2 linked regions of the Oryctolagus cuniculus genome follow. The protein of the gene in region 1 interacts with the protein of each later gene in a pairwise test. Links are inferred from orthologs where the notes say so. Each region holds a gene or a part of one and is shown in the gene's direction. Other genes may lie near its edges.

Region 1 (3,982 bases):
CACAACCCACAGGGTCACTAAAAATTCAATCGGTTCTTGCATTTAGTATGTTTTGTACAATGATTGGCATATACAAGGGCACGGGAAATATTAGGTTTTATTATTACGCTATTGTTACAAAAAAAAAAAAAAAAACACAAAAAATAACAAGAGGATGACCTAGAGTGGACTCTGTCTCTTTCACTGTGTCAGATGGAGCCCTGGCCCTGACAGAGGACAATGACTGTCAAAATGACAGGGCTTTAACGTCCTCCAGCCACGCCGGGCATCAGTACGGAGAGGACTGGCCACCTTCTTCCAGGTGGAACTAGTTTTGCCCACCCTAGATGCAATTCACCTGTGGTTTCTTTGACTCCTTTTCTTGACGGGGCCCTCATTCCCTAGCGAAGACCAGCGCATTCCAAAGAACATCTCTTAGGATTAGAGTGCCCTCCCACTCCTTCCTCCTCCTTCTCCTTCTTCCTCGGGGTCCTGCATTTCCCCTTAAGTCACTAGGCAGTCACGGGCCACAGCCGTGGACAGCCAAGTGCGTCTGCAGTGCAACCCCTTGGCCGGCTGAGGGGAACTCGCCCTCCCACGACCCCAACAACCCAGCAGGTTTTTCAGGATCTTTCGGAAGCAAAACCTTGTATTGGGGCTTTTTGGACCAAGAATGCCATCACCAGTTCTCCCGATTTCCAGGGTTAATCCCATCTGGAACTACATACCCTTGAAATGGGTTGATGTGGAGTCTTGGGGCCCGGCTGAGAGCCGGGGAGCCAGGGGTGGCTCTCGGGAGCCTCCACGCACCGGGGCCGGCGCCGGTCGGGATCCCCCGCCCAGAAGCTGCGCGACGCAGCCGGCGGCGGGAGGGAGCCACCTCCGGCCGCGCTGCCGCTTTAAGAGAGGGGCGGGGCCCGGCACAGCAAGCCAGGGCCAGCCCACAAGGCTCCTATTCCTTTTTGATCCATTCAAAAATTACTCATTGCAAATTCCCGGACTGCTAGGAGCGGAGAAGGAAGGGGGCGGAGGAGAGAGGGCCGCTGCAGGCATTGCGTCGGGGGCGCCCGGGGGGCCCGGGGCGCTGACGGCCGGTCCCACAGAGGCTGCTCACTGGCGCCGGGCTCCGGTGGCCTCACCAGGAAGCGTCAGTCTCGACCCCGGGGAGGCTCGGAGCGCCGCCCCCGCCGCCGCCGCCGCCGCCGCCGCCGGGCTCCGGGTACCTGAGTCCCCTCCCGGGCCCCCGGCTCCAGCCCGCGCCCTCCGCTTTCCCGGACCGTCCGGCCCGGCGCCTTCCAGCGATGGCCGGCCGCTGAGTCCTGGCTCGGCACGGCCACCTCAGCGCGCTCGGCATGGCTGCGAGAGAGGAGCTGTACAGCAAAGTCACCCCGCGGAGGAACCGCCAGCAGCGCCCCGGCACCATCAAGCACGGGTCGGCGCTGGACGTGCTACTCTCCATGGGGTTCCCCCGAGCGCGCGCGTAAGTGACCGCCCCGCGCCCCTCCCGCCCGCGGCTTCGCTCCGGCTCGCCTGGCCGCCGGGTGCCCGGTGCCGGCTGCCCGCGACCTGCTGGGCGCAGGATGGACGCGCTGCACCCCTCCCCCCGCCTGGGACCCCGCTACTTCCCGGCCGCAGGGTGGGCGCGGCGCCGCGCGGGCTTGCTGGGTTGGGGACTTGAACTGGGAGCCTAAAGCTGGGAAGCTGAGGGCCGCGGGTTCGAGTCCCCGGGCGCCGGATCCCCGCGGAGGGCGCTAGGAGGCTCCCTGTGGCGCACCTCGAGGTCTCCTGCGCCGAGCCCCGGGAGGCGGGGCCCCACGGGCGACTTGGGCTGACTTGGGATGCGCCGGTGGCCAGGAAAGGGCGAGGCACTGCGGGGCCGGGAGGCCGGCGCCCCCACCGCCGCCCGCTTCCAGCTGCGAGGTCGCTAGGCGGCTCGGTGTAGCTCCCGAAGAGGCGGAGCGGGAGCGTGGGTGTTGCCGCGTGCTCAGTGCTGGGGAGGACCCGGCGTGTCCTCAGTAGTGACTGCAGTGCCGAAATCTGTGGGTGCCTGCGAGTGAGCAGAGACAGCGGCCCTCCTCCGCCCTTCTCGCTCCGGGAGGGTGGGATGGGGAAGGGCGGCGAGAGCGCGCAGGTGGCCGCCTCCGCAGCCTGCCGAGAGAGGCCTGCTTGCCAGCTCTGGCAGCAGCAGCAGCAGCAGCGGCAGGGGTCTTCCTAGGCCGGTCAGCGGAAGCCTGGGGCGCGGGCACCCTGCCTAAGAGAGGCAGGGTGCTCAGGCCCCTGTCCTGTGGCCTAACCCTGTGCAGGTCTCTGAAGTGGCCCCCCGCAGAGCGCTGCTTCTTTGAATGACGTCACCGGACAGAAGAGTTGGACAAACTTTATCAGGAAGGGCCGGTGAAAACCCAGATTCCTTCTTCTTTGCCTCCTGGTCCTTTTCAGGTGGCAGCTCTGCCCCTGGGTGAATCTCTTGGCTCTACTCAGTGCCCCTGGCCTGCTGGGACAGGGTGCCGTGGCTTTGCAGGGTCACACCGTGCTGTGTCCCTGGCTTCCAAGCACCAGGGCTGCAGTTCCCGATGCCAGGATTACAGAGGGAAGAGGCGGTGGGCTGTGTGGGGCGTGTCAGGTGCGGATGCTGGGAGTTCAGAGTCGTCCTGAGGATGTCAATGTGCCTGGCTCTCTTTAAGAACTGGAGATAGGATCTGAAGAGGCTGGAATTAGCGTAGTCCCAGGCATCTGCCTTTTCTGAGCCAAGGCCAGCATTAAGGACCAAGATTATTTAATTGTGGGAAGAAATACTTAGGGGACCCGCCTCTGACTGCCATGCTGGCTCTTGGGATGGGTTTTCGGGGACATCTCCCTCATCCCCCCAAATCCAAGAGGACTGACAGCTGAGCATAATGGCCTAATTTTGGCTTGCTTCACGCCAGAGGTCCCATAATAGCTAGCATTGGTTGAGTAATTACTGTATACAATTCTGAGTACTTTATCACCCACTCAATCCTCCTAGCAATCCAATGAGAAAGAGGATAACTATATGCTCATATTATGAACTGGAAAACCGGGGCTTAGGTTTCGTAACTCGTCCAAGGTCACAACAGCAAGCAGTCACACTGGGATTCAAACCCAGGCTTTGTGTCTGTACAGCCCAGGCCCTACATCTCAGGCCACGGTGTAAATTTCCCAATACAGGTGAAAAGCATAGAGCCATTCCTGGCACATAGTGGGCAGACACTGAGTGTTGCCTCACAGTTCTTCTGCTGTGGCTGCTGTAGCACAAACTGGGCAGCTTCGAATAATTGATTTATTACCCCTCAAGTCTAGAGGCCACAAGTCCAAAATCAGGGTCTCTGCGCTGAAATCGAGGTCTTAGCAGGGCCATGCACCCTCCGGAGGCCCTAGGGGATGGTCCTTTGGTGCCTCTTCCAGCTTCTGGTGGCTGCCAGCACTCCCTGGCTTGTGGTCACCTCCTTCCTATCTCTGCCTTGGTGACCATGGTGTCTTCTCTTTGTCCATTCTCCCTCTGCATCTCACATAGAAGTGCTCATGTGATGGCACTTGGGGCTCGCTTAGGTAACCCAGGGTCATCTCCCATCTCAAGATCCCTAACTTAATCATGTCTACAAAAAATCTTCCCCCTCTCCCTTTTTAACCATCTGCCTGGGCATCCACAGATTCTAGGGATGAGGGCATTGACATTTGGGGGGCGTCATTATTTAGTCTATCACACGGCTACTGTTGAGGGTATTACAGAGCAGGCTGGGTAAGGGGGTGGTAGGGTTTGCTGCTCAGTCTGCCATAGATTCTGTGGCTCCAAGGGGTCAAGCCCTTGGAGCTCACACATGGTCTCTGGTCTGCTCAAGGCCTGCACAGTCTTACCTGTCCCGTGCCGTAACCCAGACAGGCGGATGCGGGCAGCCTTCCCCTTGATAACTCTGGTCACTAACAAGAGAGGTCAGCAGACGTCTCAGGGGGCAGGCTTTTAACTTCATTTGGGAGAGAGACAGAA
Region 2 (4,282 bases), on another chromosome or scaffold:
TGGGAGACCAGGATGGAGTTCCTGGCTTCTGGCCTTGGCCTGGGCCAGACCTGGTGGTCGTGGCCATTTGGGGGAATGAACCAGTTGACAGCAATATTTCTCTCTCTCTACTCTGCTTTTCCAATAATCAGTACATCTTTCAAAAAGATGTGTGTGTTGGTCGCGTTGGTATCTGCCGGCCTCTGCGGAGTCGGTGTCCGTGCACATACAGCCTCAGCACACTGTGTGCTACCAGACATTTGGAATTCTTCCCAGTGGGTGGGTAGCAAGGGCTACCTCAGTGGAGTCTGAGGGGACATTTCTCTTACTTTTTAAAAAAAATTTTTTAAAAGGCCGGTGCCGTGGCTCACTAGGCTAATCCTCCACCTGCGGCGCTGGCACACCGGGTTCTAGTCCCGGTCGGGGCGCCGGATTCTGTCCCGGTTGCCCTCTTCCAGGCCAGCTCTCTGCTGTGGCCCGGGAGTGCAGTGGAGGATGGCCCAAGTGCTTGGGCCCTGCACCCCATGGGAGACCAGGAGAAGCACCTGGCTCCTGCCATCGGATCAGCGCGGGGCGCCGGCCGCGGCGGCCATTGGAGGTAAACCAACGGCAAAGGAAGACCTTTCTCTCTCTCTCACTGTCCACTCTGCCTGTCAAAAAAAAATTTTTTTTAAAGATTTATTTTTATTTATTTGCAAGACAGAGTTAGAGAGGTAGAGACAGAGAGAGAGGTCCTCCATCTGCTGGTTCACTCCCCAGATGGCTGCAACAGCCAGAGTTGCGCCGATCCATAGCCAGGAGCCAGGAGCTTCTTCCAGGTCTCCCACGTGGGTGCAGGGGCTCAAGGACTTGGGCCATCTTCTACTGCTTTCCCAGGCCACAATAGAGAGCTGGATCGGAAGTGGAGCAGCTGGGACTAGAACCGGCGCCCATAGGGGATGCCAGCGCTTCAGGCCAGGGCGTTAACCCACTGCGCCACAGCGTGCCGGCCCCTCTTACTTTTTTAAAAACTGGCAAAACATACACCCTCTCAACCTTTACTTATATATTTGAAAGGCAGACAGACAGAGAGCTTCCATCTGCTGGTTCACTCCCCAAATGCCACACAGCTGGGGCTGCGCCAGGCCGAGGTTAGGAGCCAGCACCTCCACCTGGTCTCCCAGGGACCCAATCACTTGAGCATCCCCTCAGCCCTCCCGGGGTGCGCATCCCCAGGAAGCTGGACTTGAAGTGCAGGCACTCCAACACGGGCGGGCCGGGCGCAGGAGCTCAGGCTGTGCCTTAACTGCTGTCCCAGAGCCTCCCCCCCCCCCCCATCTCACCAGTCCTCAGTGCTGGGCTGGGTGGCCTAAGTATATTCAGTGTGTTGTGCAAACACATGGTTGTCTTCAATCCCATCATTCAGTGGTGCCGGCCTAGCGCTGGGCCCTGTCTGGGGCACTAGGGACTCAGATGAATCAGCTTCTGGCTAGTGGGGGAGTTGGACACGTAAACAAGCAGACAGCAAACAGCCACAGCCCAGCTCTGGACGCTGAGGGGGGGCAGCGGGACCGGCTGGGGGGTTGTGCCGGATGCTCGCTGAAGGCTTCTAGGAGGAGGTGGCCTGAGATGACTCCTGGAGGAGAGGCAGGTTTCTTAGGTGGAGGAGCCTTCCTGAGCCAAGCTCCAGAGACCTGAAGGTCAAGGTTGCTCCGGGGACTTCAGGTATTTGTGGGCAGGGGGCGGATGTGGTCCAGGTCTGTAGAGCCTTGAAGGCCTCGCCAGGACAAAGTAGAGCCAAGATCCCAGGCTAGGTTTAGTCACAGCCAGTGGTGGCCGGCAGCTGGCCTGGGGCAGGGCTCAAGCCAGGAAAGACGAATGAGGAGGAGGGCCTTGGGAGACACCTGATTGGGGAAGCCCACGGGTGGGCAGGGCATGCACTGTGGGAGGGGAGATCCCCAAGGGAGATATCACCCCTGGGAAGGGGCCCCTGGGCCCTGGGGGCTGAGTAGGGTCACAAGGACAGCCAAAGGGAGGAGGTGCTGGGGACCCCCAGATCCCAGGCCAGCGGCGGCAGGTGGATTGGATCCCCTTACCCTATCCCGGTCCCAAGTCACTGCGGATCACTAAGCCCCGCCCCTACGGACCCAAGGCTGGGGAGGACCGGCGTCTTCCTCCCTCCTCCAAGCCTCTCCGCGGGGGAGGGGTGGGGAGAATGAGCCAGCGTTGTCATGGCAACGAGGCCGGTGGTCCGGAGACCCGGGAGCGGAGGGCGGCGCTGCGGGCCTAACGCGCGGGCGGCGGCCTGGGTCTCCCGGGAGGAGTTGGGAAAGCCCCGGGCGTTCTCGCCGCAGCTTCGTGGTGGCGCTGGAAGCTCGCGTGTTTGCGGGTGTGCGTCTGCGAAGTTCTCCTGCGAGTGTGCAGCGCGTGTGCATGCGTGTGAGCTCGCACACGTGGGCCCAGGCGTGTGCGCGCGGGAGCGCCCGGCCCGCCGTGGGTGCCCGCCCGTGTGCACACGAGCGGGTGGCAGCCCGCGTGCCCGTGCGTGTGCGCGCTGGTGGGTGCGCACTGGCGGGCGCTCCGGAGCGTGCCCCGGCGGGTGTGAGCCGGAGTCCCGCCCCCTCCCCAGCCCGGCCGTCCCTCCCCGCCCCCCCTCCCCGCCGCTGCCGGCGCCGGCGGCCTCCTCGCCTCGCCGCGCTCACCCCCTCCTCCCCGCACTTTCTCGGCTCTGGCTCCCAAGCGGCGCGCACAGCCGGACTCTGCGCTCTCCTCGCTAGCCGCGCCGGGGACCGCCGCCCGCCGCCGCCCAGCCCGCACCCGCCGGCAGCGCAGTGCCCGGGCACCTGTTGGAGGCATAGAGGCAGGTGCAGGGGGCTGGGCCGGCCGCGGGTGTGAGGGTGAGGGCCAGCGCGTTTTCGGTGGGTGCTACGGGGGTGTTCAGCGCTTCTGCGGCTGCAATTTCAAGAGGAGGCATCGCAGGCTGGGGTTCCCACCTTGCGCGGCGCGGGGTGGGGGAGGAGCAGGCAGGCAGAAGAATCCTGGGGTTGAATGAAGGGACAGCCTTGAGGGCCGGGTGACACCCTGACCGGACCAGCGCCTGCTGCAGAGGGTGGGCAGAGCCTCTGAGGGACAGAGGCGGGGACCTAATGAAGAGGCTCTGGGGGAGGCTGGGCTCGGGGCAGACCAGAGCCCAGGAGGAGAGGGGGGAGGTGGGAAGGTGACAAAGGGACAACCTCCAGGTAGACCCACGAGGTGGAGGGGGACCCACGACCCGTCTGTGGGGGAGCGGCCCCTGTGATGCTGGCTGACTGGCACAGGTTGCTGTCCGCTTGTCACTTGGGAAGGCAGGTCAGCGAGGGCCACTGGCCGGGCAGGCTGCCTTGGCAAGTAGAGGCGGCAGGTGGCTGGGCTCACGCTGTCACCCCCTCGCCAGCCAGGGGTGCTGCATGAGGGGCCGCAGGGGCGACCGCATGACCATCAACATCCAGGAGCACATGGCCATCAACGTGTGCCCCGGGCCCATCCGGCCCATCCGCCAGATCTCCGACTACTTCCCCCGCCTGGGCCCGGGACCTGAAGCAGGGGGCGGGAGCTGCGGGGAGGCCCCTGCTCACCTGGCCCCCCTGGCCCTGGCCCCCCCTGCTGCCCTCCTCGGGGCCACCACGCCTGAGGATGGAGCCGAGGTGGACAGCTACGACTCGGACGACGCCAGTGAGTCTGGGGGTTGCCGGGCAGCGGGGGCGGGGGCCGGAGGGGGCGAGTGGGGGGGGGGGCCTGTCGCTGCCGCAGCTGCAGCCGGCGTGGTGAGGCGATTGCAGCTTCAATATTTCTGCGGAGACGCTCCACCAGCCCACTCACGGCCCCGGTGGCAGCCGAGCCGGGGACCCAGACGCGCGCACACGCACACACGCCGCCCCAGGGCACACACCCGTCCCATGCCTGCCCAGCCCGTTTCGCACACCCCTGGCCTGGTACACTGACTCACGCCCTCTTTCCAGCCGCCCTGGGCACCCTGGAGTTTGATCTTCTGTATGACCAGGCTTCCTGCGCTCTGCACTGTAGCATCCTCAGGGCCAAGGTGGGTACTTCCTGCCTCTCAGGCCCTCCTCGCCTGCTCTGCCCTCTGCCCTGGGAGGGGCAGGAAGGACACTGCTCCTCCCCCCTCCCACCCCTCGCTGGCTCCTCCCACTCCCTCCCCCCCACTTCTGCAGAGGGCAGGCAGGCAGGCACAGCCCTCATCCCCACACTGCTTCCTTGCAGGGCCTCAAGCCCATGGACTTCAACGGCCTGGCCGACCCCTACGTCAAGCTGCACCTGCTCCCTG

What was found. The genes of interacting proteins can lie anywhere in the genome.
Region 2: the proteins of UBASH3B (region 1) and DOC2A interact in binary tests that used the Homo sapiens proteins (3 or more experiments, as listed by UniProt). The link is inferred for Oryctolagus cuniculus from reciprocal best matches to the Homo sapiens genes UBASH3B and DOC2A.

What each region holds. Positions count from the first base shown.
Region 1 is NC_091432.1:115,071,971-115,075,952, forward strand, and holds the start of UBASH3B (ubiquitin-associated and SH3 domain-containing protein B), read left to right. Parts: upstream 1-1,182; 5' UTR 1,183-1,331; coding exon 1,332-1,459; intron 1,460-3,982. UniProt on the Homo sapiens protein: Interferes with CBL-mediated down-regulation and degradation of receptor-type tyrosine kinases. Promotes accumulation of activated target receptors, such as T-cell receptors and EGFR, on the cell surface.
Region 2 is NC_091450.1:7,405,492-7,409,773, reverse strand, and holds the start of DOC2A (double C2-like domain-containing protein alpha), read left to right. Parts: upstream 1-1,482; 5' UTR 1,483-1,683; intron 1,684-2,378; exon of another isoform or gene 2,379-2,397; intron 2,398-2,602; exon of another isoform or gene 2,603-2,855; intron 2,856-2,856; exon of another isoform or gene 2,857-2,876; intron 2,877-2,916; exon of another isoform or gene 2,917-3,067; intron 3,068-3,391; 5' UTR 3,392-3,404; coding exon 3,405-3,669; intron 3,670-3,956; coding exon 3,957-4,036; intron 4,037-4,218; coding exon 4,219-4,282. UniProt on the Homo sapiens protein: Calcium sensor which most probably regulates fusion of vesicles with membranes. Binds calcium and phospholipids. May be involved in calcium dependent neurotransmitter release through the interaction with UNC13A.